Linked DNA regions of Schizosaccharomyces pombe. The gene in region 4 interacts genetically with the main gene of each other region. Each region holds a gene or a part of one and is shown on either strand. Other genes may lie near its edges.

What was found.
Region 1: of psm3 (region 4) and cut2, a mutation in one rescues a mutant of the other (synthetic rescue), as found in Schizosaccharomyces pombe (one study listed by BioGRID).
Region 2: of psm3 (region 4) and rad21, a mutation in one rescues a mutant of the other (synthetic rescue), as found in Schizosaccharomyces pombe (3 studies listed by BioGRID).
Region 3: of psm3 (region 4) and psc3, a mutation in one rescues a mutant of the other (synthetic rescue), as found in Schizosaccharomyces pombe (one study listed by BioGRID).

What each region holds. Positions count from the first base shown.
Region 1 is NC_003423.3:2,200,632-2,206,772, forward strand, and holds cut2 (securin cut2), read right to left. Parts: upstream 3,586-6,141; 5' UTR 3,576-3,585; coding exon 2,685-3,575; 3' UTR 2,369-2,684; downstream 1-2,368. Other genes in the region: eno101 (enolase), read left to right, coding at 606-1,925; TIM23 translocase complex subunit Tim44, read left to right, coding at 4,923-6,141. UniProt on the Schizosaccharomyces pombe protein: Regulatory protein, which plays a central role in chromosome stability. Probably acts by blocking the action of key proteins.
Region 2 is NC_003421.2:1,338,985-1,347,375, reverse strand, and holds rad21 (mitotic cohesin complex non-SMC subunit Rad21), read right to left. Parts: upstream 4,484-8,391; 5' UTR 4,285-4,483; coding exon 4,252-4,284; exon of another isoform or gene 4,172-4,251; coding exon 2,318-4,171; 3' UTR 1,983-2,317; downstream 1-1,982. Other genes in the region: F-box protein Pof3, read left to right, coding at 249-1,982; SPOM_SPCC338.18 (uncharacterized protein), read left to right, coding at 5,754-6,107. UniProt on the Schizosaccharomyces pombe protein: Cleavable component of the cohesin complex, involved in chromosome cohesion during cell cycle. The cohesin complex is required for the cohesion of sister chromatids after DNA replication.
Region 3 is NC_003424.3:2,033,590-2,042,761, reverse strand, and holds psc3 (mitotic cohesin complex non-SMC subunit Psc3), read right to left. Parts: upstream 6,468-9,172; 5' UTR 6,360-6,467; coding exon 6,095-6,359; intron 6,050-6,094; coding exon 5,937-6,049; intron 5,899-5,936; coding exon 5,803-5,898; intron 5,755-5,802; coding exon 5,345-5,754; intron 5,295-5,344; coding exon 3,695-5,294; intron 3,647-3,694; coding exon 3,242-3,646; 3' UTR 3,148-3,241; coding exon of another isoform or gene 2,877-3,147; 3' UTR 2,831-2,876; coding exon of another isoform or gene 2,462-2,830; 3' UTR 2,414-2,461; coding exon of another isoform or gene 2,358-2,413; 3' UTR 2,218-2,357; downstream 1-2,217. Other genes in the region: arg82 (inositol polyphosphate kinase), read right to left, coding at 1-272; U3 snoRNP-associated protein Snu13, read left to right, coding at 1,299-1,316, 1,467-1,826; SPOM_SPAC607.02C (uncharacterized protein), read left to right, coding at 2,358-2,413, 2,462-2,830, 2,877-3,147; WD repeat protein Cdt2, read left to right, coding at 7,112-8,584; SPOM_SPAC17H9.18C (uncharacterized protein), read left to right, coding at 8,807-9,124.
Region 4 is NC_003424.3:1,219,612-1,228,443, reverse strand, and holds psm3 (mitotic/meiotic cohesin complex ATPase subunit Psm3/Smc3), read left to right. Parts: upstream 1-3,585; 5' UTR 3,586-3,607; coding exon 3,608-3,622; exon of another isoform or gene 3,623-3,665; coding exon 3,666-7,235; 3' UTR 7,236-7,475; downstream 7,476-8,832. Other genes in the region: autophagy-associated protein kinase activator Atg17, read left to right, coding at 1-1,028; rio1 (RIO family protein kinase), read right to left, coding at 1,165-2,405, 2,508-2,633, 2,719-2,845; Ino80 complex HMG box subunit Nht1, read left to right, coding at 7,647-7,689, 7,741-7,949, 8,004-8,777.

The DNA.
Region 1 (6,141 bases), on a different chromosome or scaffold from region 4:
ATGCAGCGACGAGGTTGTTGTCGCTGACATTCGTCAACAAACATACAAAACGGCTCGCTTCGTGTATTGACGTCCGCGTAATTTCGCTGCTTCTAGCTCCCGACCTTTTCCAAAGATGGCCCTCCTCCAGATTACTCACGTTGTAAGCAACTTTTGGGAACACTGTTGATTACTTGGCAAAAAAAAACACTTGCCATATAGTTGGTTCCTCTTTTGACCACCTACCTAACATTACCTTTCTCTCTCTCTCTCTCTACCAACAACCACACCACACCACCACACCACTCCATACATTACATTACCTTACCACACTCACTTCACTTCATCTCCATCTCTTGCCCCTTCTAAGCTCGCTGGACTCGCACATTGGCTACGGTGGCTCGCGTCGCTCGCTTGGTCGCTCCTTCAACGTACCCTAACGTTCCGGTTAACGATTCTTAAAGAAGCGACCAATTTGTTCCACCGGCTTCTGTGGGCTCAGGGGCATGTCATGGAAGATTGAGAGGATCGGCGCTTCCTCCAGGTATATATAGAGTGGAAGGGCCGTCCGTTAGGACTTGTTTCAGTAAGAATCAATTAGTATTCTACAGTAAACATCGTTAATCATGGCCATTCAGAAAGTCTTTGCTCGTCAAATCTACGACTCTCGTGGTAACCCCACTGTCGAGGTCGACCTCACCACCGAGACCGGTATCCACCGTGCTATCGTCCCCTCTGGTGCCTCCACTGGTATATGGGAGGCTCTTGAGATGCGTGATGGTGACAAGACCAAGTGGGGTGGTAAGGGTGTTTTGAAGGCTGTTGGCAATGTCAACAACATCATTGCCCCTGCCGTCGTTAAGGCCAACCTTGACGTTACCGACCAAAAGGCCGCCGACGAGTTCTTGCTTAAGCTCGACGGTACTGAGAACAAGTCCAAGTTGGGTGCTAACGCCATCTTGGGTGTCTCCATGGCTATCTGCCGTGCCGGTGCTGCCCAAAAGAAGCTCCCTCTCTGGAAGTACATTGCCGAGAACTTTGGCACCAAGGGTCCCTATGTCCTCCCCGTTCCCTCTTTCAACGTCTTGAACGGTGGTTCCCACGCTGGTGGTGACTTGGCTTTCCAAGAATTCATGATCCTCCCCACCGGTGCTCCCTCTTTCTCCGAGGCTATGCGTTGGGGTGCTGAGACCTACCACACTCTCAAGTCCATTGCCAAGAAGCGTTATGGTTCTTCTGCCGGCAATGTCGGTGATGAGGGTGGTATTGCTCCCGATTTGCAAACCCCTCAAGAGGCTCTTGACCTTATTGTTGAGGCCATCAACAAGGCTGGTTACGAGGGTAAGATCAAGATTGGTCTTGATGTTGCCTCCTCCGAGTTCTACGTTGACGGCAAGTACGACCTTGACATCAAGGCCGCCAAGCCCAAGCCCGAGAACAAGCTTACCTACCAACAACTTACCGACCTTTACGTCGAGCTCTCCAAGAAGTACCCCATTGTCTCCATTGAGGACCCCTTCGACCAAGATGACTGGTCTGCCTGGACTCACATGAAGGCTGAGACCGACTTCCAAATTGTCGGTGACGATTTGACTGTTACCAACGTCAAGCGTCTTCGTACCGCCATCGACAAGAAGTGCGCTAACGCTCTTCTTTTGAAGGTCAACCAAATCGGTTCCGTCACCGAGTCTTTGAACGCCGTCCGCATGTCCTACGAGGCTGGTTGGGGTGTTATGGTTTCTCACCGTTCCGGTGAGACCGCTGACACCTTCATCTCCCACTTGACTGTTGGTATTGGTGCCGGTCAACTTAAGTCTGGTGCTCCTTGCCGTTCCGAGCGTTTGGCCAAGTACAACGAGCTTCTCCGTATCGAGGAGGAACTCGGTTCCGAGGGTGTTTACGCTGGTGCCCATGCTGGCAAGTACATCAAGGCTGCTAAGTTTTAAACTCTGAGCATACATTAAATTTTACTAATGTTTACAATACATGTTTATTTTTATAGAATGCAATGAAATTTTTATCCTTTTTGCGTTTTGGATTAATTTGCCAGGTTGCGTGTTTATTTATTATTAGTATTAAAGTAAACTGTTGTTGTAGTAGAAGTAGCTGATATAATTGTTTTGTGCTAATTTGCATCCTTTTTTTTTTTAGATGATCATTTTAGTTTTCGTTTATATAGTGTTTTTTTTTCAATCATCTTAATTTTTTTTGGAATGTGTGCATCTGCTGTAAAACACAGAAATTTGTCTTTGACCTAGTACATATTTTTATGTGTAGCCAAAATTTTTGGATACCTTTGCTCTTTATCAGTCACTTTACTACTACTAACACTGGAAAATGTTCTATTCCTCAGCATCTTACCTACTAGTATTTATAATATTCATCAACGTAGAATGAAAATAACAATATTATTAACATAATTCATCTACATTACAATAGTAAAATATTGAACCAGAAAAGCCAAAAAAAAAAAAGCATATAGAAAAGGAAATCATTTGTACAGAAAAGTCATGAACGAAAAACATGTCATAAATTAAGGACCGTATAGGCTTTATGCATTTAAGTAAAAAAAAAAAAAAAAAGAACAGCATTAAAGTGGTGAAACAAATTAAACAACAAGGGAAATCAAAGCCATCGGAAGAATCATACTTACAATCGTAGAAGCGGAAGCCAGTACGCACAAAACCTGAAAATTCGGAATCTTTTTATAACAATCCTGTATCCAAAGATGAAAAATCAATTCGTGAAGATGATAACGAATGAATAGAACGAGATAAAGGGCGCCGACGGCTATTGCCAGATGCAGTTACTCGGGGTCGTGTGAGTTTATGAGATAAGGGTCGAGGGATGGATTTACCAGATGCCAGCTTGGTGCGATAAACGGTACTGAGTCGTGTTCTGGAAGAGGATTGTTTGCTGACAGAAGGCTTTTCGAGAACCTTTCTTTGTTGATCAGAAGCTTTCAAGGTAGCGGGTGTTGTCAGGTTAGTATCCTTTTCTGTTAACGGGGAGTCACCGTCTACGCTGAGCAGAGGAAATTGTATAGGATCATCATCACTGAACTCCTTGTAAACATGGAAATCTGATGCAGGTGTATTACGAATAGTTACTGAGGTAGCCTTATTCTGCATGCTAGGCCAAGGATCGAGCGTTTCACAATCAATTGCAACGTCGTCAAACCCCAGGGATTGAATGGGGTCCAAATGAACAGGAGGAGGCATATATTCGATATCTTCTTCAAGTTCATTTGGTAAAGGAGTGTCTGTTAAAGAGGAACGACGAGGGCTAGCCGAAAGTCGCTTCGACCGCTCTTGTACGGCTGATCGGGAAATTCCTTGTGAGTTTGGCTCCAAAATAGTAGGGGAATCCATCGAAATATCCATAGGAGACATTTTCTTTGTACTGGGAGCAGAAATAAATTTGGAAATGTTAGTACTCTTACCTCCCAGTACCGTTCTAGGAACCGTTACAGAAGAAGGTGCATTCGACTGCTTTGTAGACCCCAATGGTGCTCTTTTGGAGCCCGCTCCTTTTGTACCATTTCTGTTTGATATGGGAGTTACAGGAAAAGCGTTTTCTTTTCCATATGAAAACATGGTTCTTGGCAACATCGTTGTCTATAGTCCAAGGCTGGTTTATTATTTCACAGGTGACATTCAATTGTGACCTGCACAATTTAAAATAGTAAACAAAGCGATAATTTGAAGAAATATGATCACCTTTTAAATTTTTACTTTTACAAATGCATAATAAATTGTTTTGTTTTGTTTTTGAATTGCTTAATTGGATTGAAGATGATTTATGATATTCAGGTTGCTTTTATCGTCTAGTGTTCAAGATGGAAAACCAGTTCTTCATGAAACAAATAATTTTACATTCCAACTATACTATGTTGTAATCATTCTGAATCATTATCAGAAAAGTTGGAAGTGTATTACAACTGATCATTTCGTATAAACTTGATGTTGAATGAATCTAAGCTTTTAAAGCTAGATCTGTCTGCCAAAATTGATCAGTTATGACTTTAAGTATCCCATTTCGTTATTGAAGCTGAAAATTTACAACCTGTGATAAATAATATAGGAGCTTCAACAACTGTTTTCATAAAAAATCATGAAACACATTAATCATCAGAAAAATTCGAGGTTTACTACAACTTAAATGCGCCTTTTGAATTCTGTATAAACCAGCTACTTCCTTATTTTCAAATAAATTTCATCAAAGAAACTTAGGGGCACAACAAACGTCGCATGTTATTAGAAAGAATTACATACAAACATTCTATCAAACTGATAAAAAAAAAAAAAAAGATACAAAATTAAGAGATCTTTAAATTTTTCTAGATTTGAAAAATCTCTACAAATGAATAAACGAAACTTCAAAATGCTAATTAATACTATTGCTTTTATCTCCAAAACCCGCTACATACTCAAATTATCCAGTTCTATATAACGCATTGTAATATATCTATGCTGCTTATTGAATACTTTTTTTCATAACTTCATACGATCTCTTACCACCCACATGGTATCGATTCCCAACAATATTGTAAGCAACAGCTACGACTGTTTCAACCAATACGAAAGGAAATTGATCGGTACTCTTATTCTTTAATATATTAGGATCATGCGTAATTTATGCTTCCCTCTATATCAATATTTTAATAGTTGCATTTCAGATAAAATGAGCGAATTCGTAAAAATTCTAATCGTAAACTCCTCTTAGTAAAGTAAAAAAGTCCAAATATAAGAGAATATGCTAACTTTTGTTAACAAAAGACTACTTCTCGATATTTAGGATTAAGGTATCTTTCCACCTTTGTGGCACTTGAACCTTCCATCCACCACTCACTAGGCTGCTATATCGGTTTGCAATAAAAGGCAGCAAAGTGGATTAATTTTCGCGTAATAGCGTTGAGATTTATTTATTCAATAGGAAAGAAAATGTTTCTATCAAGAAAAATCACAAAAAATGCCCGCACAATAGTTCAATGCCAGCGGTTTTTCCAAACGTCTATATTCTCTCAAAATGCAGCACCTCAATCGCCAATCAAGGTGTTCATGGATACATTTAGAGCAGAATTAAAGAAGAGCCAGGAATTACAGGACAGTGTCAAAGCATTGCAAGATAGTTCAGGATCATTAAGTGAAAGCGACACTTTCAAAAAAGCGAGAGATGCTTACGAAAAAGCGCGCTCGGGAACTACTGCAGCTTCATCTTTCACAGGAAAAACTGTTGGCAAAGCTGGTGCCAAGATTGGCTCATATGCCCAAAAAGCTTGGGAAAGTGCTCCTGTACAATTATCAAAAAAGGTCATTTCAAGCACCGCTAATACTGTAGCTACTGGTGTTGACACTGCCACAAAACCCGTACGTGAAACTGCATTTTATAAAACAATTAAGCAAACAATGTCTGATGGTAGCACCTCTTCACGTTATGGATTTTATGCTGACAAGGAACAACGTAAAAAATTGCGTGAAGAATTTGAACGTCGAAACAGAATGTTTGCTAGCTCGGCAAGGATTCAGCCTAACGAAGACGTCCAAAGCGTCGTCGTACATAGCAACCCGTCGTGGAAGAATAAGGTTGAGCAAATAAAAAACGAATCGCGTTTAGTTCGTAAAATTCAAGAGCTTAAAAAAAGTTATCAGGAGTCTGAACATCCTATTGTCTCCTCCATTCGTGACATGGCCGACAGTATTAGTGGCGTTTGGTCTCGAATGTTTTCAGAAACTGAAGCATCGCAGGTTATGCGACGCTTTAAAGAGATTGACCCATCCTTTAATACCGAGCATTTCCTTCAATATTTAAGAGAATATATTGTCCCGGAAGTTACCGAGGCATATGTTAAAGGAGACAAAGAAGTGTTGAAGACTTGGCTTTCGGAAGCCCCCTTTTCCGTATATGAAACTACTACCAAGGAATATGCGAAACATGGAGTTGTTAGTGTTGGTAAAATCCTTGACATTCGTGGCGTCGACATCATGTCTCAAAGACTTTTACAGCCAAATGATATTCCCGTTTTTATCGTCACTTTTCGTACTCAAGAGGTCCATATGTTTAAAGATGCTAGCAGTGGCGAATTAGTTGCAGGAAAGGATGATCGTATTCAACAATGTACTTATGCTTCTGTCTTTACACGTGTAGAAGACGAGCTTGATA
Region 2 (8,391 bases), on a different chromosome or scaffold from region 4:
TTACATGCTTATTATTAGTATTTTTGCACATTCAATTTCTGTTTAAATGAAATTTGAAGGCGCTAGCTTTAACTATCCTTTAACAATTCTAACTTACTCCATAAAGCTTGCGACTACGAAAGCATAATATATACCTCAAAAAGGATATCGAGGTTCTTAAAATACGGTTCATTGGAAGCTATATGGGAGGTTTATGTTTATGTATAGAAAAAATAAATCGTTGGGTATAGAAATTAAGATTTGGATTCATGAATAACTATCAAGTAAAAGCAATAAAGGAGAAGACCCAGCAATATCTCTCTAAAAGGAAGTTTGAAGATGCATTGACATTCATTACTAAAACCATCGAACAGGAGCCCAATCCTACGATTGACTTGTTTGAACTAAGGGCTCAAGTTTACGAAAAGTCAGGTCAATACTCACAAGCAGAACTTGATGCTAAACGGATGATTCATTTGAATGCAAGAAATGCTAGAGGTTACCTACGCTTGGGAAAACTTTTACAGCTTGACGGCTTTGATAAGAAAGCAGATCAATTGTATACGCAAGGCCTGCGAATGGTGCATAAAATGGATCCCTTGAGACCGGTATTAAAAAAAGTAAGCCAAAGATTGAATGAAAGAATTCTTCGGACCAGGCCGGTACTAGATTTGTTTCGCATTCTTCCCCGAGAAGTCCTATTATGTATTCTACAGCAACTAAATTTCAAAAGTATTGTTCAGTGTATGCAAGTCTGCAAACACTGGAGAGACTGTATTAAGAAAGAACCTAGCTTATTTTGTTGCTTAGACTTTTCATGCGCCTCTCCTCGAAGTGTAAACTCTAGAGATCGAAACGTTATGGCTGTTGCTCGATACTCTGTTTATTCAAAAGACAATATACAGGAAGTAATTGGCTTAGAGAAGCTTGGTATATTAACACCTACCAAAGCCTTACTTCGTTCAGTCAAATCACTTAAAGTCTACAAAACCATTTCACCTCTCCACACTCAGTCAACGGATAAATTGTATACAATTTGGACGCCATTTTCTGAACTTCACTACTTTTATTGTGCTACTCCTATAACATTTTCCATAGCTTCTAAGATTTTATCTTGCTGTAAGAAACTCAAGCAGGTTGAGCTTGTTGACTTAATTCCCGATTTGATATTTGATTCTATGGATTGGGATAAACTCTTTAATGCAGAATCTGTACCGCTGGCTCTTAAATCTTTGACGTTTATCCGAAATCAAAAGTTTCCCTTTCACCATAAAGAACAGCAATTTCTTAAAGACTTGCTGTCTGCCAGTCCATATTTAGAATATCTGGAAGCCTCATATCAGTCAGACCTAGTTGCTGCAATAAAAAAATATAAAATTAATCTCCGATCGTTAATTATCATTGATGAAGGAGTATCGAATACTGTTAAAGATCTAGCATTCCTTCCTCAATCTCTTACCACGTTAATTGTGAAACCCTGCAATCCTGCATCTACAATTTTATGTCCATATTTATTCCCTACAAATGTCCGGATGGAATCACTAATCAACTTAGAGTTATTTCTTTATCTTCGTTTATCTCAAAATGATATCGATAATGTTGTCAAATTTTTGACTTCTTGTTACAAACTAAAAAAGCTGGTTCTACACGATTCGCTAGCATTGGCCCCCCATTTCTTTGAAATATTTGCATCTTTACCGGAACTTGAGCATCTTGAGATTCCTGATAACGTTGCTCTTCAAAATAAGCATGCAATACACATTACTGATTGTTGTCCAAATCTAAAGTATGTGAACTTTTCAAATTCAATATCCCTCGATGGATCGGGATTTATAGCAGTTTTACGAGGACTGAAAGAATTAAAACGTATAGATATTATTAATTGTGATTCTGTTTCTAGAGATGCAATAGATTGGGCGCGCTCCAAAGGTATGCAAGTTACCGTAGCTTCCTCGCTTCCAAATTCTCAACCATTGGGTACAAAAAAGATACGCCTAATATAATATGATCATATTGTCTTTATATATTCAATCCTAGTAAACCCGTATCATCGCATTGAAAGGAAGATTTTTAAGAGATAGATCAATCATTGAGAATAAATTAAAAAGCGCGTAAGCTATTTCTAATCATAACTTTGTGTTGAGCTGATAATATTACATACATCCAACAGTAATATCGTAACTCGGAAAAAGAAAGACATACAACTCGTGATTCCAAAAATAAAATAAAGATAAAAGAAAGCAATGAACAATATTACTGTCATAAAAATCTATTTCGTGTAAGTATTCACACTTATTTATAGATCTAATTGGATTTTGAAAAAATATTAACCGACCTCTCATAGTGATGAAAGTAGCATTCCACGTTTAGCAGTAAGCGTGATTTCGTTCTGAATGGCAACATCCTGCTTGACAGATATAACATCCTTCGTCGCTAAAACGAGGACATCAAAGAAAAGTTGAACAGCTTCCTCTCTATTGCATCCCGCACTAAGAGTTTGGAAGGATACTTTTTCACCTTCAGTATAAGGATCCCACTTATTGCGTAGAGAATCTTTGGCTGTTTGTGAACTAGGAAGGGCCTCAGATACCGAAGAGTCCAATCGTTCGCTTCCCAGCAAATCGGCCTCGTCCAGCATTACGGGAGGAGCGTCAAAAAGTGAATCATCGGCTGATTCCAAGGCAGTAACAGGAAATCCCATTGGCGAACCAAGCTCAGGAGCTTCTCCTTCTGGTTGAACAACGGTTTCTTGTGGTAAAGTAGCGATAGCGGCTTCAGTAATGTTGGCAAGCTCAGCGGCTGCAATTTCTTCAGGGTCCAAGACTTCAGCAGTTTCTTGGTTTTCAGTTGAGGTATCAGTACGTTGGTGCTTGGCAGGCTCGACTTCCTCTGGGCTCTCATTTTTTCTCTTTCTTAGAATTGCCTGTTTGAAATCAGCTTGCAAAAGCTCGTTTACTTTAGGGTTCAGGTTGGAAGAAAATATGGAAGTATTAAATTTACCGTTTCGAGTAAAATTAACGGTGGCATTAAACACGATGGAAGATGTATTCAAGCATAACGGTGAGGTGATGGAAGATGTATCTGCCAATTGTTTTTTCATTTGCTTGGAGGACAATTCAGTAACGGGATCAATAATTGCACGTTGACGACGTACAGTTTTCTGTGGATTGATCTTTTCCTGTTGAGGAGCAGTGGCGCTTTCAACAACCTGACCTTCCTCTACTCCTGCTGCTGCAGGACGAGATGAATCATCTTCCATAATGTCAGAAGGGAGATGAATACTTGATGTTTCAGCTTGTTCATCAGCCTCTATCGCCGGAGCATTAGCACCTTGTTCATCTCCTAAAAGATCATCTAAGCCCAAATCCAGGTTTAAATCATCAACAGGAGCCAACAATTCATCATCCAATGAAGTTCCTCCTATTGGTAGCATGCTTGGCGTACTAAAATGAGTGACTGAACTAGCCGGCGACTTAGTCATTTGAGGCCCAATAATTCCACTTAAATCGGTGGCAGCAGCAGCAGGAGCATCTCTACCTACTTCTATAGAAATTTGGGACTGATTATCAGAGTGCACACTTCTAGGTGTAGCAGCACCGGAATTTGAAATGGGAAGATGAAACTGCATATCATTGCCAACATGTGCGAATGATTCGCCCAAGGAAAACCCTGATTCTACTTGGGCATTTCGTCCAGCCTCAATTGATAGCTGGGAAGATGGAAAAGAAGGAGAGGAAGATATTGGTAAAGAATGTAGTTCAAGAGTGTTCGAAGAACGAGAGGGTGTACGAAGAAGTTGAGACCATTGAAAATCAAATGTACTATCAGGTACCAAAAGATCAAACTCTGTAATTGTCTCAGGAAGAGTGAGATTAGCGCTCTGTGTCACAGCATCTTTACCTTTTAAAGATTGGAGAGCAGTAGCTGGTTCAATCATATCAACCTGACCCGGTTGAAAGGACATTTTCAAACGCATCAACGCTTCCGTACAATCCTCCAATAAATACCTAGCCTTTCTGGAATAAATGCGAACAACACCCAACATTAGTTGTCCTGATAGGCGAAGGGCCATTGGAGCGGTTTCCTCCGTGACAATTGCATGGACGCTTTGCTCAATACTGGTGTGCAAAGTTTGCACTTTGGAAAGTTTCTTTTCCCAGTGAGCTGCCAACCATACCTTGGCCAAAGGACCCTAACGCGAACAGTTAGTCAGACGATTCAAAGACAAATTAGCACTGTTTACGCGCTAAAGAAAACTTATAAACTACATACCTTTTTTGAAAGAATGGCCTCTGAATAGAACATAAGAAGCTTAATATGATTAGGAGAAAAAGATAGAAAGAAATTAAAGAGTAAAGACAAAAAAAAGAGGGGAATCAAAAAAGAACAAAAATAAACAAAAAATTAATAAATATTAAAATGAAAGAAATGCTTTCTTTCGCAAAATTCGCCTCCTCACTACGATATAAGCTGGGTATTTGTAAAAATGAATATACGTGGTGCTGGTTAAATGAGTACGCGCTGCGCGTAAATAAATCCACGTTGCCATGCCGACAATGAATATGATACATAAACAAACTAGTATGTGTAGCAACAAATAGTTAAATAAATGAATAAAAAAAGCTTGTATTGAAGTTAGAAACTGTTGAGCATGATCAAGGGAATATGCTTCCTCGAAGAAGTTGATTTATCTTTGTTATATGCTTGTATGTTTCGGCCTACTAACTGTATTATAAAATGATGCGCTAGATTTACGTTCACATATGTGCATAGAAGGCAACAAAAGGCATTTGAATTATGTTATTCAATTAAAATAGTCATAAGACATAAGGGGATATGTTTTTCAATAAAACGGAAAACTCCGATTACAACCTTGTTTTAACAATCTTGAGTTAAATTTTGACCATCCTTATTTTGGAAGCATTATCCTTCCATTGAATACATTTATCAAATGAATTCCATTCATTAATTGCATCTTCAATGCCATTTTTTCTGTATGATTAAATAGACTCGTAAAAGGATGTTTTCATCCCATTTTAGTAATGTCAAAACACATTACATTAAACGAATATGTAATAGAAATTACCACGACTGAAAATTTATTTTATTTCTATTATATTATTGTCAAAATTAAAAGGTTGATTGTGACTCGTATGCCAGAAGAAGGTTAATGAATAAAAATACTTATAAAAATAAATAAATTTTTTTTTTTTGGGTAGGGTGTTTTTTTTTAACGATAAACCCCATCCAGATAAATTCGATAAACAAGCTAATTTATTTAAAAAATCAAACAAAAAATAGAAAAAGGAATAGACAAGAATTCCATCCATATTCGTCTAGCAAATTCGATTTTTCCATTTCCCAATAGTGGACACTGCGCAAAACAGTTCCCGTATGTTTTAGTGAAGGGGAATTCGAGTTTGACTGTTGGAAGAAGGCAATTCGCTCATAAATCATTTTAATAAATAAAATGAATGTATAGCATTATTTTCGCCTCTGCAGAAGTTTAATGTCATTGTTCATTGTTGGCAATATCCAATGTGGGGGAAGGCGTAAATAAAATGAATACGTATATGTTTCTAACCTTGATTCTTGACTTTTCCCAACAACGGTTCACTGACTTTAAAAGAGAAAAAGTATAAATTACTAAAGCAATTGTTACATTTAAATAGATTGCTAAGGACTATTGTCTAATAATACAACAGTTACCTTTATTAACGTTTATTTTTCTTTTGGAACACATTGAATATTAAACTAAATTGCCACAAAACAAAATGACTGAACAGAATATCGATATCAAAAGAGAATTGAAGGATGAATCTCCAATTGGGCAATCTCCACATCTAGAAAATGATGGTCGTCCTAGTCTTATGTCGCGCTATAGCTACTCGTCTATTGAAGAGGTATCCAAAGAGGGCTATCAATGGTTTAAACATCAAAGTGTATTTCTTAAATTTAGCCTAATTGTACTTTTATTCTCGTTGATGTTTAGTTTGACGTTTGGTTCGTTGCTTGGATTAATTAGCCTTGCTTTGGGCTTTCCTAGTGTGGGATATCGTTATGTGCTTCTGCCCATATTAAATGCATTATTGAACCGTTTAAGACTTAATTCCTCCGGTTTGAAGTAGTACGAAAAGCTTGATTTCTTTGGGTCTCCCGTTTCTGCTTTTTGTGTCCGAATTCAAAATGAATCATCATAAAAAGACAGTGTTCTTGTTTACCTGAAAGCGATGAGTAACTTACCCTGTTGTATCTTAGTTTACGACGATCCTTGTATAACGACTGGAAAATAAAAAAAAAAAGTCAAAAAACTGTGAATATAATAAAAAGTGATTTTTTACTTGTTTAAATTACAGCCTAACCTGTTGCAACCTTTCAATATTCTTTCCATCTTCAAAACTACTTACCCACCCTTACCTACTTGTTTTAACCGTGTCGCCATTTTTTAACTGCCAAAATTACGGGCGAAACTCCAATACCACATATTCCCTTTTATTAATTTATTTAGCAATTATGATTTAATACAAATTATCTTTAAGATCTTCAAGCTCCTTTTGTTACTAAAGTTACGTTTTGCTTGATAGGCCTAAGTGAGTTTATCTTCATCTGATAAGAAGATAGCACTTTATTCTCCAGAGGATTCTGACTATTTCAAAAAATGCACAATTATTAGCAGTGCCTATTACTCTTTGTTATGCCTTTTATATTGAACGAATTATTGAATAATCATGACTATAAATCTAAAATATACCGTATTTGCTGATTTTAATAGTATACTTTTCCCTAGAGACCCAGCTTTTTTAGTTAAACATTAAGACTATAAACAAAAACAGGCTTTTACTAATAGCTCGACGTACATTATTTGGGTTAAGAATTCTTGATGCAGTTAGATGCAGAGATGGTTTTTTTTAAGCCATAAACGTTCATCTTGTAACCCTTGATTGTTTTTTTGATGGATTCTAATGTGCTTGAGTGCGTTATATGTTTAACCATTTTAACATATGAGTGTAGATGGAGGTTGAGCCAATATGTATAAAAATAGACATTTCTGCTGGACTTGAGTTCGACTCCAAAATTCTTTCAACACGTAACTCACATTGCCGCGATTACCTTGTAACCTACAAAAAATACTCAATGCTACATGGTCCTTCAGTTGGCAAAATGTATTGAGAAACCCTACAGTTCCTTTTCTTAAGCAAGCTGCTTAATTGAGCCTGCTACAGAGAGTCGTACCCATACCATACCCATGTACGCTATATCAGCCCACTACATATTAGTGCAACCAATATCATGGATGAAACAACTATGATTTCGCGGATGTTTTAGCACAGCAATTATCACTTAAAATCTATACCCAGATATCCTTTTGTTTTCCAATAGTCGATGATGATTCCTCACATTCAGCAATTATTGAGACGCTGACAAATGGACTTGAGCGTCTGTCAGCCAGTTTTCCGTGGCTAGCTGGTCAGGTTGTTCACGAAAGTTCAGAAGGAAAAAGCTTTAATATATTCAAGATTAAACCGTATGAGAAAACGCCTCCTTTCTTTGTCAAAGATCTTCAGCATGTCCCTTCTATACCCTCCATGGACGCGCTCAGAAAAGCCGATTTTCCTTTCAGTATGCTGAACGAAAGTATTTTCGCACCTCGCAAAACGATTCCAGGAGATCCTGATGAACAAACGTTAGGCTCAGATCCAGTTTTCCTTGTCCAAGCCAGTTTCATCACTGGTGGTCTCGTGCTTACGTTTGTCGGTCAGCACAATGCAATGGATATGACCGGCCAAGGTTAGGTTATCAACCTCTTTTCTAAAGCTTGTTGCAATGAACCATTTACTAGCGATGGTAACCTTCCCCGTTACAACCTTATCCCTTTACTCGAAGACTCTTACGAACCAGGTTCTGAGATGGATCATTTCATTTTGAAGTCACCTCCTTTTTATTCCGAACTTGAAAGCGTTGATAAATCACATCCTCCTCCTCCTAAATGTATTTGGAGTTACTTTTGCTTCGACCATAACTCACTCACCGCTCTTAAAACACTGGCTACAAAAACTCTCCCCTCGTCGTTTGCCTCAGAATATATATCCACCGACGATTCCCTTACCACATTCGTCTGGTAAGCCATTATTCGCTGCTGCATTTCTCGATTGAACCCTACAGCCACATCCACACTTTGTCGTGCTGTTGATGTACGGCAGTACTGCAATATTTCACCAACGTATCCAGGACTAATGCTTAACATGAAGTCACAGAGATGTGTAATTGAAGAGTTGATGAAGGAGCCTTTGGGTGGCCTTGCATCGAAGCTTCGTTCAGCTTTGGATCCAAAAACACGGGCTTATGAATCGAGTGCACTTGCGACTTTAATTCATCGTAGTCCAAATAAAAATCTAATCTCCTTTTGCTCAA
Region 3 (9,172 bases), 810 kb from region 4:
TGATACAGAATATTTTCTAAGATTATAGCTTTTCCAGTTAAGGAAAAAGCAACACTTTCTGCGATCGGGTTGATACCCTCAATGTCTCTACTAGAAGGCATCCACTCACCGAAATTCTTAGGAATCCAGTTGTAGAGCGTAATATTGTCGTTACATGTTTTATAAAAATCAACTTCACTTTTAATGCATGGCTTAATTAGAATTTTATCATCCTCACTGACTAGTACTTGGCCATGACCAGCAGCTTGAAATGGAAACAGTTTTAGTTTCATCAAGAGTTAAAGAAAAAATCCGCTAGTACATGTTTTTTCGTCAAAAGTATATTTCTTGAAAATTGCAATACGCGTTTAGCAATATGCTGAAGCGTTATTTTCGATGTGACAGCTGTTGGGTAAGCGGAATGTAGAATGAATTGAAATAGTGTAGAGCTATATCAACCACTTCCACTGCTTGCACGAACATGCAGGTTATATGAGCTGAATAAATAAGTGTAAAATTTTATCTAATAATATAAAACAATGAATTTCCTAAACACATATCCAAATGTGTATGTACTCGCTGTTAATTTATTCAGCTTTTTTTACAGTAGATAAAGTTGTAGCCTGGAGATCGAAGTATGAATTTAACAGAAAGTATAAACTTTTTTGGATATTATTTAGAAAGTGTTTTGCAAAGTTTTTATAAATTATAATATTATTAAAAACCTATATTCCAAACCACTAAGGGAAAATATTTTAGCTAAATTACAATTTACACACTTTCAATAGTATGTACCAGGGCTTTTTTTTTTTTTTTTTTTTTTTTTTTTTTTTTAGGACAAATTATATGTACTTTGCTAAAATTTAAAAGTTAAATAGTAGATTATTAGCAACTTCTTTTTTGCTAAGTCCATAGACTATATAACAATACAGCTCTCAATCAGATATGCAGTTCCAACTTTTTTTAATGTTATTATATTCTGTTAAATATGGTAAACAATGTCCAATTGAAGAATGCCTGCTCAATAGAAATAAACTCACCAATCTGATTTATAGTTTTGAGTCCTCCATATTCATAGTGTAATGCCAAGAAACAATTAAGATTATTAATGTGCATAAATTTCTTAGAATTCCAAATTTAAGCAAATTTGGATTAATTTTCCAAGTTACATTGATCGAAGGATCGACTAACGTTGATGTTGTTACTTGTACTTTTGGACTACAGCTAAAGTGAAGTTTACTAAAGAAAATTTCTTAGCAAGGGCGAGCAACCACCATTGTAGGTCAGATACTACTTTTTACAGCAAGGAACCCGAAAAAATGTCAGTTAACCCAAAGGTATGTTAATAATGGTATAAGACTTCTTCTTTGGCTACGAAATAGCTGAAAGCATGCTAGTTTCAAATGCTAGTTTCGTCGGCAATTTTATTACGGAAAATGAACTTTTCCGAAATTTATATTCGTTTTATTGCATACTAACATTGTTAGGCCTTTCCTTTAGCCGATTCTGGCTTAACCCAACAAATTCTCGACTTGGTACAACAGGCCTCTCATTACAAGCAGCTTCGCAAAGGTGCAAATGAGGCTACCAAAACCTTGAACCGTGGTATTAGTGAATTTATAGTAATGGCGGCTGATACCGAGCCCATAGAGATTTTATTGCATCTGCCATTGCTTTGTGAGGACAAGAATGTGCCTTATGTTTTTGTTCCTAGCAAGGCTGCTTTGGGACGTGCTTGTGGTGTAAGTAGACCGGTGATTTCAGCCAGCATTACTACCAATGAGGCTAGTGATTTACTTCCTCAAATTCAAGCTATTAAATTGGCAATAGAGAAATTGCTCATCTAAACTTTTGGATTTTGGGAACAGTTTTCTTTTAATCGAGAATAAAATTTGATTCTTATGGAAGCAGATTGTTATCGAATTTTTTATTTTGTTATTGTAATTTTGTACTGTTTCGCTTTCTATATAATTTCAAGTACTCTGTTTGTAGTCATTTTAATTTTTATTAATTAGCTCGCAAAATACTCAACAAGAAAGATAGTTGAGTGTTTACATATAAGAGCATTACGATTTTAATAAAGATAGTGTATATTTGGTGTTTGATATATATATTTTTTAATATATTTTTCGTGTATGATTCGAAAAGTATCTTCACTAAGCTTGCTTCCAACTTGATTCTGAAATTTTTTCTCTCTAAAGCGTTACAGCTTGTCCACTAAAATAAAAAAAGATATTTGTATTCATTAATAAACTTTACTGTTATCCCATGAGTATCTATTAAAACAAATCCAAATTTATCTAAATTGCGATACGAGCTAGGCTCGCTATTTTCCTTTATTACTTGCTTCTCGTTTGTGTTTACTATCCAAGCGCAATATGCCTACTAAGACTAAGAAAAGGTCCGTTCTTGAGGCTGAACGGAAAAAGATTGGGTAAAAAATTTCTATAGCAAGATGTTTTTACTAACATTTGGTTAATAGACTCGATCATGCTCCCAAGGAGGATGAAAGTGTAGATGACAACTTCCCAAAGCAATTCAAGCGATTGCTACAGCAAAAAGAGTACCATGAATCTAAAAAGAAGGAAATAAAGAAAGGCAACCTTAAAAATAAGAAAAAAAAAGATTATGGGAAAATTCAAAGATTACCCGGTGAACGCCTTAGTGAATTTAGTCAGCGCGTAAATAAGGCTATTCCAGTATCTTTTAAGTCTGGGCCGAGCAAAATAGACGAATTTACTGATAAAAAAGAAAAGAAAAAAATAGCGAAAAGAAAAGAGAAGCGTGAAAGAGACTGGAATGAAATTGAGGAAAATTTTGAAGATAAAACATGGGAGGCGGATACTACTGGGTATGTGTATATCACCAATTTCATTTCGTATAAACTAACATATTAGACAATTTATCCAAATTGAGTCTAGAAAAAAACGAAAAAATTCGCCTGATCCGTGGGCTAATTTACAAACAAAACCTTCCTTTGGAGAAACTGTGCAAGCTCCTCCTGAACTTCCGGAATTAAAAATTAAAGAGACAAAGTACTTGGAAAATGTTCCCAAAGTTAATAATATGGGTCAAACAGAATCTATGGCACGACGCCAAGCTCTAGGAAAGCAGCGTTTGGAACTTATAGAGAAATATAGAGAATTAATGAAAACCAAGCGGAAATAATCTTTTTAATAATGAAAAAAGAATTTATTTCTAATGCTGACTTAAAAATAATTAATTACTTTAAATATACAGCAGGCATTAAATCTAAATTTAATTAATTCAAAAACTCATCCACAATAGCAGATAATTTCGGTCCATAGTGCCCTCTTAGTTCACAAAACTGTTGTGAAAATTCTGGTGTTATCGTATTTGACAATGAAACAACTATTAATAATTTACTAGTCAAATCGCAACATACATGTTCCAATAGCCTTCTATTAAGTGGATTTTTGTCCAAAGAAATTTGTGTATGTGGAGAACTTGCTTGAGTCAAACGCTTGAAGGGGAATTGACCAACTTTGGCATATGTGTATAACCATCCCTCAAGTATTTTTAAAAGAGCATCTAAAAATTGAGGTTTTAAAAAGTTATGCTCCTCAGATACACGATTGTCATCGTTGTAATGTGATGCTTTAACACCTTCTTTCATTATCACTGTTTCCAGAAAAGTTCGGGCTGCCTGGTCAAGTTAGTTTCTTAAATCAAATAATAAGTTGATTTTGTATACCTGAAGTTGCAAAATTTTAGAGCTGTCATTATTCATAATATTAATCAAACAATTAAAAACTTTAGTCTCATCATCCTTCTTTTTTTCCTCATCAGCAGGGTTATCCTTCCTTAGAAAGAACCAAAACAATAGACTCTGTAAAGTATTAATTGCAGAAAACTTCAATGTATCTTCATAGCTATTAGGAACCCGCGAAAGAAGCGAAACAAGCCTTTCATATATTATGTCAAACTCAGGATAGTCAGAAAAATCTTTGAGAGAGGTACATCCCTCGATTCTTGTTAAACAAGCTTCAAAAATAACAAATTCATCTTTTGTTATTACAGCATCTTGAATATTAAAAGATCCAAAATTCTTTAAAAATTCGGTTACCGTCTGGTCGCAAATGTCAGTAACCAGAAGCTTCAAATCTTCTTTCAAAGCAGGAATAGAGTCCAACCGTAAAAATAATATCGTGCAACCTTGAATAATTTGAAGATCATTATTGGTTAGGAAAAATTTTTTTAAATTATTAATTAGAAGTTCAAAATGTCTGGAAAGTTGAGGGTCTGTCATTTCTGTCAAATCCATTGAGAATAACAAACGAAGAGAATCATGAAGAAGTGTTGGTGAAGCAGAATTTCTCTCAGTTATTGAATTAATGTAAGGAAGAAGATTCAAATAAAGTAAGTCCTTATCTTTATTTTGATCGTTGGTCGTTTCCGCCGCTTGCTTATTATGCACCGTTTTAGGTGTGATAAAATTGTTATTACAGACAGTTTGGATTGAAGCAGAGAGAAGCTGTAAAAGAATAGATTCCTGAAAATCATTTAGCTTGCAGAAAGAAAGTATACTGTCTATCGGATCTTTTAGAGTCGAGGTATAATTATCAAAAAGTACGAAGTTGCTAATATCCTCCCATGACTGATAGATTGAATCAATTTCACATGCATTAAGTAAAGCTTGTGTTATAGGAGTAATGAAATTACCATTTTTTTGGAAGATTCGTAATAATGTATCATAATCAAAGCTCGATTGGTAAGACAATCTAACCTCCTCCAAAAGTTTACACATTTGGGAAAATTTTATCCAATGAACTGAAAATGTAGTAAGTGAAGTCTGAGAAAAGGCCTTTAGAATATAGTCTTCTTCACCCCATAAATCAATTTTTTCATTCACACTTTCGTCAACCACTTTGCATAAAAACAGTACGGCTTCACGTTGCACCCTTGGATTGATATCTAAAATTAGCTTCAGCACTTTTAAAATTTCAGAATTTTCTAAAAATCCGCAAGTCCTCATAGCGTTACACAAACGAATGCTGGCTACACGAACTCCAATATCGGCGTCCACACAACTCATCTCGAGTATTCTTTCTTTAAATCTAGAAGAAAAATGTCTTAATCCACCAATAAATGAATCTGTCTCAAAAAATTTGCGCAAAACTTTAACTACAGTTAATCTGACGGTAGTGTTTATGTCTGAAAGCATCCATCCTAGGTATCTTAAATAACTTCCTGAAAAAAATATGCTTGGAACAGTATTAATCCAGACCCCAAGCTCTTGTAAGCAATCTACCCTTATTTTAGGCTCCACGTCTCGATATCGATGGACGAAGACACTAATATAAAGGTTAGTATAAATAAATTAAAGCGTTTGAGGGATCTTTACCTATCAAAGTAGTCATTTAAGTATGTAGTCAATGTATCTTGTTGCTTGACTATTTCACCAAGACTGTTATTAAGTTCGTTGATGCGATTTCTATTTACACGAGAGCGCTTTTCTTCTTTCTCGAGCTGTTTGGTAGCAATTGCATGCTCGTTCAATAGTTCTTTAGATTTTTCACATAAAAAAGTCATAATATTCAAACAGAAAACAGTGGCGGTGTGCCGAATAGGTCTCATCGTAGAAGAAGACATGGCAACGACCCAAGACATAATATCTTCAAAAACAGTGCTATTGTACAAGTAATTTCTTATTGACAACTGTGACACAAAGTTGCTTAAAAGACCGGTCAATCTCTTTCTGAAATTCCTAAACTTAAGATTTTTTGAATTTAAAGGATAATCACGAGTAGAAGTCTTAAAGTTGTTAATATACAAATAAAGTATTTTCGCAAAAGCACTTACACGCTCTACAGAAAGTTGAATTTGAGATAGAGTAGCTGAAGCAGAATCTTGATCCTGAACATCAAACACATTAATGGCACGATTGCAACCACAGCACTAAAATATTTAGTAAAGAAAGAAAAGAATGACTCTACCTTTAAAATAAAGTTAATAAGATTTGCAAGGGCAGATTGATTATCTTTTGCATAGTCAGCAAACCACGAAACCGCGATGTCCATGGTATCAACTTTTTGGTCAAGCAGAAAAGCTTTTCAGTGTTAGTAGCTGAAAAAAAGAAGGACTTTATCATTACCAAATAAGTTGTTAAAAATTTCTTCTTGAGGATCCTCTTCAACTATAGCGTTCCTCCTAGAGCGTTTTACATTTACTCCTTTAGAATTTGGCCGTGGATGCCGTTTTTTTGAGCTTATCGTTTTCTCGTAATCATCATCGCTATTTTCTTCAGAAGATGAATTTGAACTACTGCTCATGGGATCAAAACTTTGAGAAAGCATTACAGGGGAAGATTCTCTGTCTCCTCCATCATCATCAGATCCAGTAGTAACAGACTCACTCATTTGAAGAAAAAAAGAAATAATTTATAAATAAATTAAGAGGTGTAATTAGAAATATTGGAAAGAGTGTAATGAATGCACTATTGGTGTTGTACAATGGAGGTTGTTCACAACCTGTAGTTGATAAAAGCACGAACTTGTCTTGTTCAATAGTGTTAGACAGGATAAATGTGTTTGAAAATCCAAGGATACGAAAGGAAATTTATACTTAACGAAGTTATTACATTAAAATTTTCTTTACCTTGATTGAAACAAATATATACTATTTTCTTTTGGGTCCTGCAAGGTGAACAGCTAACTTATATTCACTCCGCGAGTTGAGATTGTAATTTGACTATACAAGTATAGAATTGTGAGTGAAAGATTCTTTTGACGCGTAATATTTTCGATTATTATTAATAAATGAGATATTTGACAACTTTTCGAGCGCTCATTATATCATAGGCAGAAATACGAAAGTCATCCTTTATGAAAAATTAACAAGTAATTAGAAAACTTTTATCCTTTTTATTTATTCCTCAAGAATTTTAGGCTGTACCCATCTGTAATTGCAAATATGCTTAAACATGACTTTGAAATACGCGTTTTGTTACTTTAACATATTCTGGGTAACGTTTGGTGCATGTGATGGATCACGGACGCGTCGCGTTCACGCGTCACGAAAATCTAATATACTCACGCTACCATCCACTACTTAAATTAAACTGGAACACACGACCTCAAAAGCGGATTAAATTAAGATTCATGATTATACCATGAATATGGACATTGGAAAAGCTTTGAGTGATGTTGGTGGGCTTCGAGATATTACCTCACGTGCAAATAACTCATTACCTCCGACTCCTGATTCTTCTCCCGCAGCACCTTCCAAAAAACATAAGCTTTACGACTTCCTAGAAAGCCGAGGAAAAATTGAAACACCTCGAAAACGCATTGTGTTTGAAAAGAAACCCCTGTTACACAAGCCAGTTCATATTCAAAAAAAACCTGCTCAACTTTGTAAAGAACTTTTAATCAGACAACTGGGAGGTTCCCGGTCGCACCCTTTTAGCACAAAAACTTCTCGTCATGTGGGAGGTAGACTCAATCTCGAAACATATTACTCACGACCTTCGGAATGCTTAATGATGCTGAACCAACTCCCGTTCTGTCTTGGATTTGCTAATAACGAGTCTTTATTGGCCGTATGTACTGAGACTGGAGCTCTTGAGCTGTTTGATTCTCGATTTTACGATAGACAGAATGAGGAAAATCAGCCGTCTGCTCGAAGAATCCATGGCTGGCTTGCTCACAACAATGCTATATTTAGTGTTAATTTCTCTAAAGATGATTCATTATTAGCTACTTCATCTGGCGATCAAACATCAAAGGTATTTGATTTGTCAACGCAACAATGCATCACTCGATTGGGACGACGAGGTGTCGATGGATACCACTCTCATTCAGTAAAGCAGGTTAATTTTTGCAATGATTCTCCTTATAATTTGGTAAGTTGTTCTCGGGATGGTTCCATTATCTTTTGGGATATGCGAACACACGGGATAACAATTGACGGTGAGCATTTTCAGAAACCAGTGTTAAGGATAAGAAAAGCACATGAAAATTCGGGAAGGGATTGCTCAATTACCTCAGCTACGTGGCTCCCTCAATCTACTTCGCAAGTTATATCGTCCTGCTCTGCAAACTCGGCCTTAAAGTTATGGGATTTACGAACTGTACATACCGTCCGACCTTTACCTGCTGCTACTACTCCCGAATTAACTACTTCAAAACGCGATTTTGGTGTTACTAATGTTTGTACTTCTCCTGACGGTGAGCGTATTTATGCTGCTTCCAGAGATAGTATCATTTATGAATATTCATCTCGTCACTTAAACTCCGGATTTTGCAAGACTTACAAAGACCCTAGACTCAGAATTTCTTCATTCTACGTAAAGTTGGCGTGCAGTCCTGACGGAGCAACTTTAGCCTGCGGTGGAGGCGTTCAAGACAAGACTAGTGGTGTTGTTGTTTTTGACACAACAAGAAACTGTTCATCGTCTGCTATGCTCACAGGTGGTCATACTAAGGATGTTACTGCAGTTGATTGGTCTAGTGAAGGTCAATTGGCAAGTATTTCAGACGATGGGAGCGTTCGCGTATGGAATTCTTCTCTGCATGGAAGTGCGGCTAACCTTAGAGAAAAGAATTTTTCGGAGATTTTTTATTGGGGATTTAGTGAAAAATGAAAATTATCACGCATAGCAATGTCTCAATATTCGGCTTGTTTCTCTTGAAAAGAAGACTATAAGTGAGGCTTCATAATATTTTGTCAAAAATAACGACTATTCCCTAATGCATTTGAATATTATTAGGATTCTTTCTTTTTCCATATCTATTTAATCCTTTGATTTGTCATTTTTTTGCTTCCGCTGGATGCTTTATAAGCTTTTTCTGTTTACCAAAGCTTAATGCATAAAATTAGTTTGCAATTTTTTTTTGTTGACAATTATTTTTTTTTTTGGAAGCAATCAAAATACCAGTCAATATATGCAATCCAAATTAGATGTTTTTTCCTCACCGTTAATCGAACTCCTATTCCTAAACAAACGTTCAGTTTAATAGTTTTTTATATACTAATAATGATTATTCAACACTTAAAAGAAATCCATTATTTAATCAGCGCTAGCGCTAAATTATTACTAGCAAGCAACTATTTACTAGAACTTCTTATTTCTCATAATATACAATTTAGCCCTATACGTTCATTTTTTATAATTATGGTCTAAGGATATTTTACGAAGTTGCAAACAATAATAACTAATTCTATACAAAAT
Region 4 (8,832 bases):
TATTAGATCTAGTTCAAAATTATCCAACATTTAATCAATTAAACGTCCTTCATGATCGATTGGAATCGTCACTTAAACGTCTTCGTGACTGTACATTAGATCCAGCCTTAGGAAGCGAATATACCAATCTTTATGCATTTGTAGATGATACTGCATTAGAAGATTTGAAAACCAGGCTCCGAGGCGTAACTGATGGTGTTTGGAATGCTTTCGAAAAGCTAGCGGGTTTACTGGAAGAAGATTTGTGTGCCAATTATCATAAACGTTTAGAAGCTGTTTCATTAGACTTCTTACCTCCCGCTTATAACGATACTGCCGAAGAACTTGCGGATTTGCTTTTGCAAGTTGCTCAACATTACGATCAATGCTCCGAAGCTCTCAATATTTATGACACCCTTTCTGATGCGGAGAAGAAAGATCTCCAAGAAGTGCTTCAATCAGACTCTAATCATGTTCCTTCGGTATTGACAGAACTTAGGAGTGGATTAGATCAAACAATTCATTATTTCAACGCAGTTCAAAGTTATAAGTCAAAGGTAGATTCGGCAACATCGATTTTGGAAGCCTTGGCTGAGGAGTTAAACAAAAACCAGTTGACTAATCAAAGGCATGAAGCCGCGCATGAGTTAATGAGGGCGCAAACCGGCCTGGAGATTCCGCAATTAGCTCAAGAACTCGTGCAGCTTGAAAGACATTACACACATTTTGCTAAAGCGTATACCGCTCTCCTTCAGGAAATTCACAGACGACAAACCTATGAAAATTGTGTAAGATCCATTGTGGACGAATTTGTGGGACGCCTGGAGAAGGAACAACAGGCGGAGGCGAAATGTCGTATCGATTTTTTCAATCAATATGGTGATTATTTACCCCAGACTCTATGGGGAGCTGTAACAGATCCTCCTTTACATTTTGAAATTATAGAGCACCAATATACAGAATTGCCAAACGTAAAGGTAATTCCTGATAAAAACGATAAGAAATCGAAGCAACGTGAAAAATCTTCTACTACAGCCTCTAAGCGATGACCCTGTTAGCCATATTTTACGATTTTTAAAGTCTATAAACGTATAATGATTTTAGTTATGCTACTAGTTTATGAGTATTGTATAGACTTTTCCAATAAAGATAATTATATAAAATAACCGTAATTTTTTCCCCTGATTACTTTTTTCTTCCAGATTGTTTTAGTTTGCGCTTCTTCTCATACTTCGGAATCTTGGATTTTCTTTTCTCAGCCTTATCTTCTTTGGTTTTTTTTTTCCGTGCCCTCTTCTCCTCCGGTGTCTCCTTTGCACGTCCGTTTCCTTTACCTTGTTTTGCAGATGATTTTGAATCCGAAGTCCGTTCTTCTTCATTTTCCATACTACTTATAGAATTTGCATCATCATCGCTCTCCGAAGTCTCATTTGGGAGGATTTGATCGTTTTGATTTTTTGTAGTGTCATTTAAATCCAATTTTTGAAAGTCTGTATTTAATAAGTGCTTATATACAAGGCTATTAACACCTCCGGCGTTTACGATTTCAGTATCTCGATCAATGTCGTATACCTCATCTAAAGTCCGAGGAACATAAGTTTTTAAGAATTCCTCTTCGTATTCTTCTGTAGTAGGTTCTTCCTCATAAATTGCATTTAACCGGGTTTTCATGGCTTCCTTTTCACAACTTCCTTCTTCAGTAATGAATTTAAATAATTGAGGTAAAGATAAGCAACCAGCATTCAAACGCCTAAAGAATGTAGAAATGTTTAAAATATCCATTCTTAAAAAATCGATGCTCTGCGGGTGGTCATGTTCAACCGATTGTGATACATCAATAAAATAAACTTTACCTTTATGATAAAGTAAATTATATTCTGACAAGTCAGCATGCACGAGATGACAAACATGAAACAAAATACGCATATTCCGTGCTACAAGCTGATATAATTTAGTAGCCTCACCAGGCGTCATATCTATATCCTTTAACTTGGGGTATGCCCATCCTTTCTTGTCCCCCAGAAACGACATAAGCAAAACGTGCTGCTTCAATAAGATTGGCTCTGGGCAAGGAATACCAGCAGCAGCCACACGCTTCAAGTTTCTTATTTCTTTTTCAGCCCATAAGCGTACCATTTTTCGGGGATTGCGCTTGTTATACCCATGACGAAAACGAAATTCTCCAGAAACATAGCGGTCACGATCCTTAAATACTAAGATTGAAGTCTTATAAATTTTTATAGCAAAATGTTTACCATCCTCGTTTGTTGCATGATACACATTTGCTTCCTTTCCCGTGCTTATACAACCATTAATTTCTGATATAGTTCCATTATTTATTAATTTTAATAAAATCATTCGAGTACGGGGATCCAGCACTTGTTCAGATGTAGCGCGGTCACTTTTATCCTTGATAGATGACTTGTCTTTATTTGTCAGTACTATTAAACATGAAAATGTAAAAGTGTGAAGGATCAAAAGACCTCGAGTTCTAAAACCTATGAGCAGTTAAACTATATTACACTTACCCTCTGCCTCAAACCTGTCATTTAATTTTATATTATTCACATAACGACTAAGCGTAGAAACGTGATCATTAACTGAATTGATCTTAGAAGAATTATTCCCAAAATTTTCCTGTCTAGCAGAATAATCTAGTAAAAATGTTATTAATGATCATGAAAAATGGTAACAAAAATTCATGCAAAGTGCTTTTGGCTATTCAGTATATGAACTTACTTGAAGAAGCTTGATTCCAGTCTATATCGTCTTCCCTAAAGTAATCATTGTCAGAGCCATCACTAAAGTCGCTATATTCTGATTCTTCTTCATTTGTCTGTGCATCGTTTTTTAACTCCTCAACCATCTTAAACTTTAAATAAATCAATAAAAGAATAATTTATTTAAAAATTTGACAAAGAACTGGATACAAATCCAAGTTTTTGTATTTTGTAGGTGGTAGTAAAAACTTTTTGTTGTAAATAAAACTGGTATATAAAAATGTAAGAAGTTAGCAAATTATGATTACCATAAGTTACAAGATGATTTTTGCAAACCAATGATTTTTTTTTTAATTTAGTGGATTATATTTTTTCCATTCTTCGATCAATAAAATATATATTACATTTCCAAAAGACATTTAATGTTAGTGTGAGCGGCTTTCCTCATTAAAGCTTGACAATAAAAAGTCAGATAGAAAAGAAACAATACATAAGCTCATATATGCATTTTTTTAAATTCATTACTGAAACGCTGACGCTCAAGAGCAGCTTGCTTATTTAACACTAATGCATACTTGGCATCTAAAAAATCACATACTCAATTAAGCTAGCGCGCTTTCTACCAATTTGATTGTGCATTCCCAGTAGTTTAATAAAGAAATATTATATTTGGAAATTGATGCGGCAGTAAAGAGAAAAGCAAACGATCTTCAGTTAATACAGTTTCATATAGAAAAAACATAACAAAATCAACATCAACAACTCAAAGAATTTCTCATCTTGGTTAGTATGAATGAATTATTATGTTGTAGATTCTTAGAACTCTGTTACCACAAAGATTGATACTTACACGCCATAAAGAAGACACGCGACGCGTAAATACTTTAACCCAAACCAACCACAAATCTATGTATATCACAAAAGTAAGTAAAGCATTATAGAACCCCAGTTAACTGATTTATTAAGATTGTTATTCAAGGGTTTAAATCTTATAAAGATTATACTGTAATAGAGCCTTTAAGCCCTCACCACAATGTAATTGTGGGACGAAATGGATCTGGTAAAAGCAATTTTTTTGCTGCAATTCGATTCGTATTAAGTGATGCGTATACACATTTAAGCCGTGAAGAAAGACAAGCTTTGCTGCATGAAGGCCCTGGTGCAACTGTCATGAGCGCATACGTTGAAGTTACGTTCGCTAATGCTGATAATCGATTTCCCACCGGTAAAAGCGAAGTTGTCTTGCGTCGTACAATTGGATTGAAAAAAGACGAATACTCTTTGGATAAGAAAACTGTAAGCAAGACAGAGGTTATTAATCTTCTCGAGTCTGCTGGGTTTTCAAGATCCAATCCTTACTACATTGTTCCTCAAGGAAGGGTCACATCCCTAACCAATGCAAAGGATTCAGAGCGTTTAGAACTTTTAAAAGAGGTTGCAGGTACTCAAATTTATGAGAACAGAAGAGCTGAATCCAATAAAATTATGGACGAGACAATTCAAAAATCGGAGAAAATTGATGAACTTTTGCAATACATTGAAGAACGGTTGCGTGAGTTAGAAGAGGAGAAAAACGATCTTGCAGTTTATCACAAAAAAGACAACGAAAGAAGATGCTTGGAATATGCTATTTATTCTCGCGAGCATGATGAGATTAACTCCGTATTGGATGCCTTAGAACAAGACCGGATAGCTGCACTTGAGCGTAATGATGATGATTCGGGTGCTTTCATTCAAAGAGAGGAACGCATTGAACGAATTAAGGCTGAAATTACAGAGCTCAACCACTCGCTTGAGCTTTTACGTGTTGAAAAACAGCAAAACGATGAGGATTATACCAATATTATGAAAAGTAAAGTCGCATTGGAATTACAGTCTTCTCAATTATCACGTCAAATTGAATTTTCGAAGAAAGATGAGAGCTCAAAGCTCAACATACTTTCTGAATTAGAGTCAAAAATCTCTGAGAAAGAAAATGAGCTTTCAGAAATTCTTCCAAAGTATAACGCTATAGTATCTGAAGCTGATGATCTTAATAAAAGAATCATGCTGCTCAAAAATCAGAAGCAATCACTTTTGGACAAGCAATCGAGGACTTCTCAATTCACTACCAAAAAAGAACGTGATGAATGGATCAGAAATCAGCTCTTACAGATCAACCGTAACATTAATTCTACAAAGGAGAACAGTGATTACTTGAAGACTGAGTATGACGAAATGGAAAATGAACTCAAAGCAAAATTATCTCGTAAAAAGGAAATTGAAATTTCCCTTGAATCTCAAGGTGATCGAATGTCGCAACTACTTGCTAACATTACTTCAATTAATGAAAGGAAAGAAAATTTGACGGACAAAAGGAAATCTCTGTGGAGAGAAGAAGCCAAACTTAAGTCGTCTATCGAAAATGTTAAGGACGATCTTTCTCGTTCTGAGAAGGCTTTGGGGACTACAATGGATCGGAATACAAGTAATGGTATTAGAGCTGTCAAAGACATTGCTGAACGTCTGAAACTCGAAGGTTACTATGGTCCACTTTGTGAGCTTTTCAAGGTTGATAACCGTTTCAAGGTCGCTGTTGAGGCTACTGCTGGGAACAGTCTATTTCATATCGTGGTAGATAACGATGAAACCGCAACTCAAATTCTTGACGTTATATATAAAGAAAATGCCGGTAGAGTTACGTTCATGCCTTTGAACAAGCTTCGTCCAAAGGCGGTTACTTATCCTGATGCCAGTGATGCTTTACCTTTAATTCAATATTTAGAGTTCGATCCCAAGTTTGATGCTGCGATTAAACAAGTTTTTTCGAAAACCATTGTTTGTCCATCGATTGAGACCGCCTCCCAGTATGCTCGATCTCATCAATTAAACGGTATTACTTTAAGTGGTGATCGATCTGACAAAAAAGGTGCATTAACTGCCGGGTATCGTGATTATAGAAATTCCAGGCTGGATGCTATCAAAAACGTTAAAACATACCAGATCAAATTCTCGGATTTACAAGAAAGTTTGGAGAAATGTCGTTCCGAAATTGAATCTTTTGACCAAAAAATTACTGCATGCTTAGATGATTTGCAAAAGGCTCAACTAAGTTTAAAGCAATTTGAAAGAGATCATATTCCTCTTAAAGATGAACTCGTAACTATTACTGGAGAAACAACAGATCTTCAAGAATCAATGCATCATAAAAGTCGTATGCTTGAGCTTGTTGTTTTGGAACTACATACACTTGAACAACAAGCTAATGACTTGAAATCTGAATTAAGTTCAGAAATGGATGAACTTGATCCCAAAGATGTGGAAGCACTAAAGTCTTTGAGTGGTCAAATTGAAAATCTCTCTCATGAGTTTGATGCCATCATTAAAGAACGAGCACATATAGAAGCAAGAAAGACGGCTCTTGAATATGAATTAAATACAAACTTATATTTAAGAAGGAATCCATTGAAAGCTGAAATTGGTTCTGATAACAGAATAGACGAATCAGAATTGAACAGCGTAAAGAGATCTCTACTTAAGTATGAAAACAAATTGCAAATTATTAAATCTTCATCTTCTGGGTTGGAGGAACAAATGCAAAGAATCAATTCTGAAATAAGCGATAAACGAAATGAATTGGAATCGCTAGAAGAATTGCAGCACGAAGTGGCTACCCGAATTGAACAAGATGCAAAAATTAACGAAAGAAACGCAGCAAAGAGAAGTTTGCTTCTCGCACGGAAAAAAGAATGTAACGAGAAAATTAAATCATTGGGGGTTTTGCCGGAAGAAGCATTTATTAAATATGTTTCAACTAGCTCAAATGCTATTGTGAAGAAACTTCATAAAATCAACGAAGCCCTTAAAGATTATGGAAGCGTTAATAAGAAAGCATATGAGCAATTTAATAATTTTACTAAACAACGCGATTCATTGTTGGCTAGGAGAGAAGAGTTGCGTCGTTCTCAGGAGTCAATTAGTGAGCTTACGACAGTACTTGACCAAAGAAAAGATGAAGCAATTGAGCGTACCTTTAAACAAGTTGCTAAAAGCTTTTCTGAAATATTCGTTAAACTTGTTCCGGCAGGTAGAGGTGAATTGGTTATGAATAGAAGAAGTGAATTGAGTCAAAGCATCGAACAAGACATCTCCATGGACATTGATACGCCATCCCAGAAAAGCTCGATCGACAATTATACAGGTATCAGCATAAGAGTTTCTTTTAACAGTAAGGATGATGAACAACTGAATATTAATCAATTGAGTGGCGGTCAGAAGTCACTTTGTGCTTTAACTTTAATTTTTGCTATCCAACGCTGTGATCCTGCGCCTTTTAATATACTCGATGAATGTGATGCTAATTTAGATGCACAATATCGCTCGGCCATTGCAGCGATGGTCAAAGAGATGTCAAAAACTAGTCAATTTATTTGCACTACTTTTCGGCCTGAGATGGTGAAAGTTGCGGACAATTTTTACGGAGTAATGTTTAATCACAAAGTTTCAACAGTTGAGTCGATTTCTAAGGAGGAGGCTATGGCATTCGTTGAAGGATAAAATGGTTATGGTTTGTTAATTTAAGTTCGCATTTTTCTTTTTAATTTCTTTGCGTGGACAAACCGATCTTTTTGCTATTAGTCATTCTTTCATTAATATCTCTGTTATTTAATTTTATCATACTTAATTTATAATTTTTATATTCATGATGCAATTGCGCTTGAATCAATCAGTGCGTATTACTACCAGAGTTGATACTTTCACATATAGTTTTTTTAAAGTTCTAATCCCAATGGAGAGTCATTTTAATAACTTTTTCCAGATTTCTATTTGTATTCAAAAAATCGAAAGCATGTCGTAGCGTTAAGACTTGTATAAATTCGCTATTTTAGACCTCCAGTCAGTGCTCTTAATTCGCGACAGTACTTACTACATTGTGCGAACAAGATCAAAGGCAGAGCATCTATATCCATGGAAAACCCTCCATACCATGTATCTATTTCCAAATCGGAAGGTGAATATTTTGAAGCTTGATTGATTTTTTCATTTACTAATGAATACTCAGAAATTAAATATCGCCAAAAGTGCAAGGATTTAAAGGCTAGAATTCAGGAGATCCAAAAAGGAAATCAGGAGTTATTAAGCAAATATGAGGTTATTCGAAGAGCTGTCAAGCGTGGCCGATTAGAAAGAGCTATCTTAATGGAACAGTTGGAATTGCAAAGTGAAGCAAAATCTCGCGAATTTGGACAGCGCTCTGAGCCATCTCCTCCTGTAAGTGTTTTTATAGAGTGAATTTATTGTAATACTTGTACTAATCATATGTAGCCTCCTCCCGAAGGTATTAAAATCAAAATATCAACGAAAGGCGCTGGAAACCCGTCTGCCAAGAAGTTAAAGATATCTACAGAAGAAACATCTGATACAAACGTAGCATTAAACAACACGTCGGAAATATCTCATAAATCATCAAATAATTCCCAGCCTAAAGATGCATCCGTCAATGACACAGATGCAGACTTTGAGCAGCAAAATCAAGTTGTTCAATCAAAAGATGAAAAAATTACGAATACTGATCCAATACCTTCTCCTATTATTACAAATCTTAAAACAGAAAGCTCAAAATCATCTGGAGCTAAAAAAGCTACTTCTAATGCCAAAATTACAGACACAATGTTATTCAACCATTTTTCGTCTATTCAAAAACCAAAATTAAAGGCCGAAGGCTCTACCTTGAAGGGACAAGCTTTGAAGAAAACTCTTGAAGATACATGGAATAATTTGACCGAAGAAGAGAAGAAACCTTATCATGAAGGATTGCTTGCAGCGCGTGAGAAGGCCAGAGAAGCAAGACGTCGACGAAGTGCGCAAAATTCAGCAAAACTAGAGAAAGAGAAAGCTAAAGAAAAGCAAAAGGATAAAGATCAAGAACAAGACACTGTTAGTGATAAAAATCAGATAGATGAGATAGAAAAAGGGCAGAAGGAAGTAGATGAAGAACCTGTTTCTGAACCCACCACTTCGCCTATTTTACCTCCAAAAAATCAAGAGCCAATTCGTATGGGAGGATTCACCGTTGTTAATAGATCCTCTAATGCTTAAAAAGAGCTTTCTGATGCAGGCATCAGATCAATGAGGCAATGCTTAAACTTTGTGT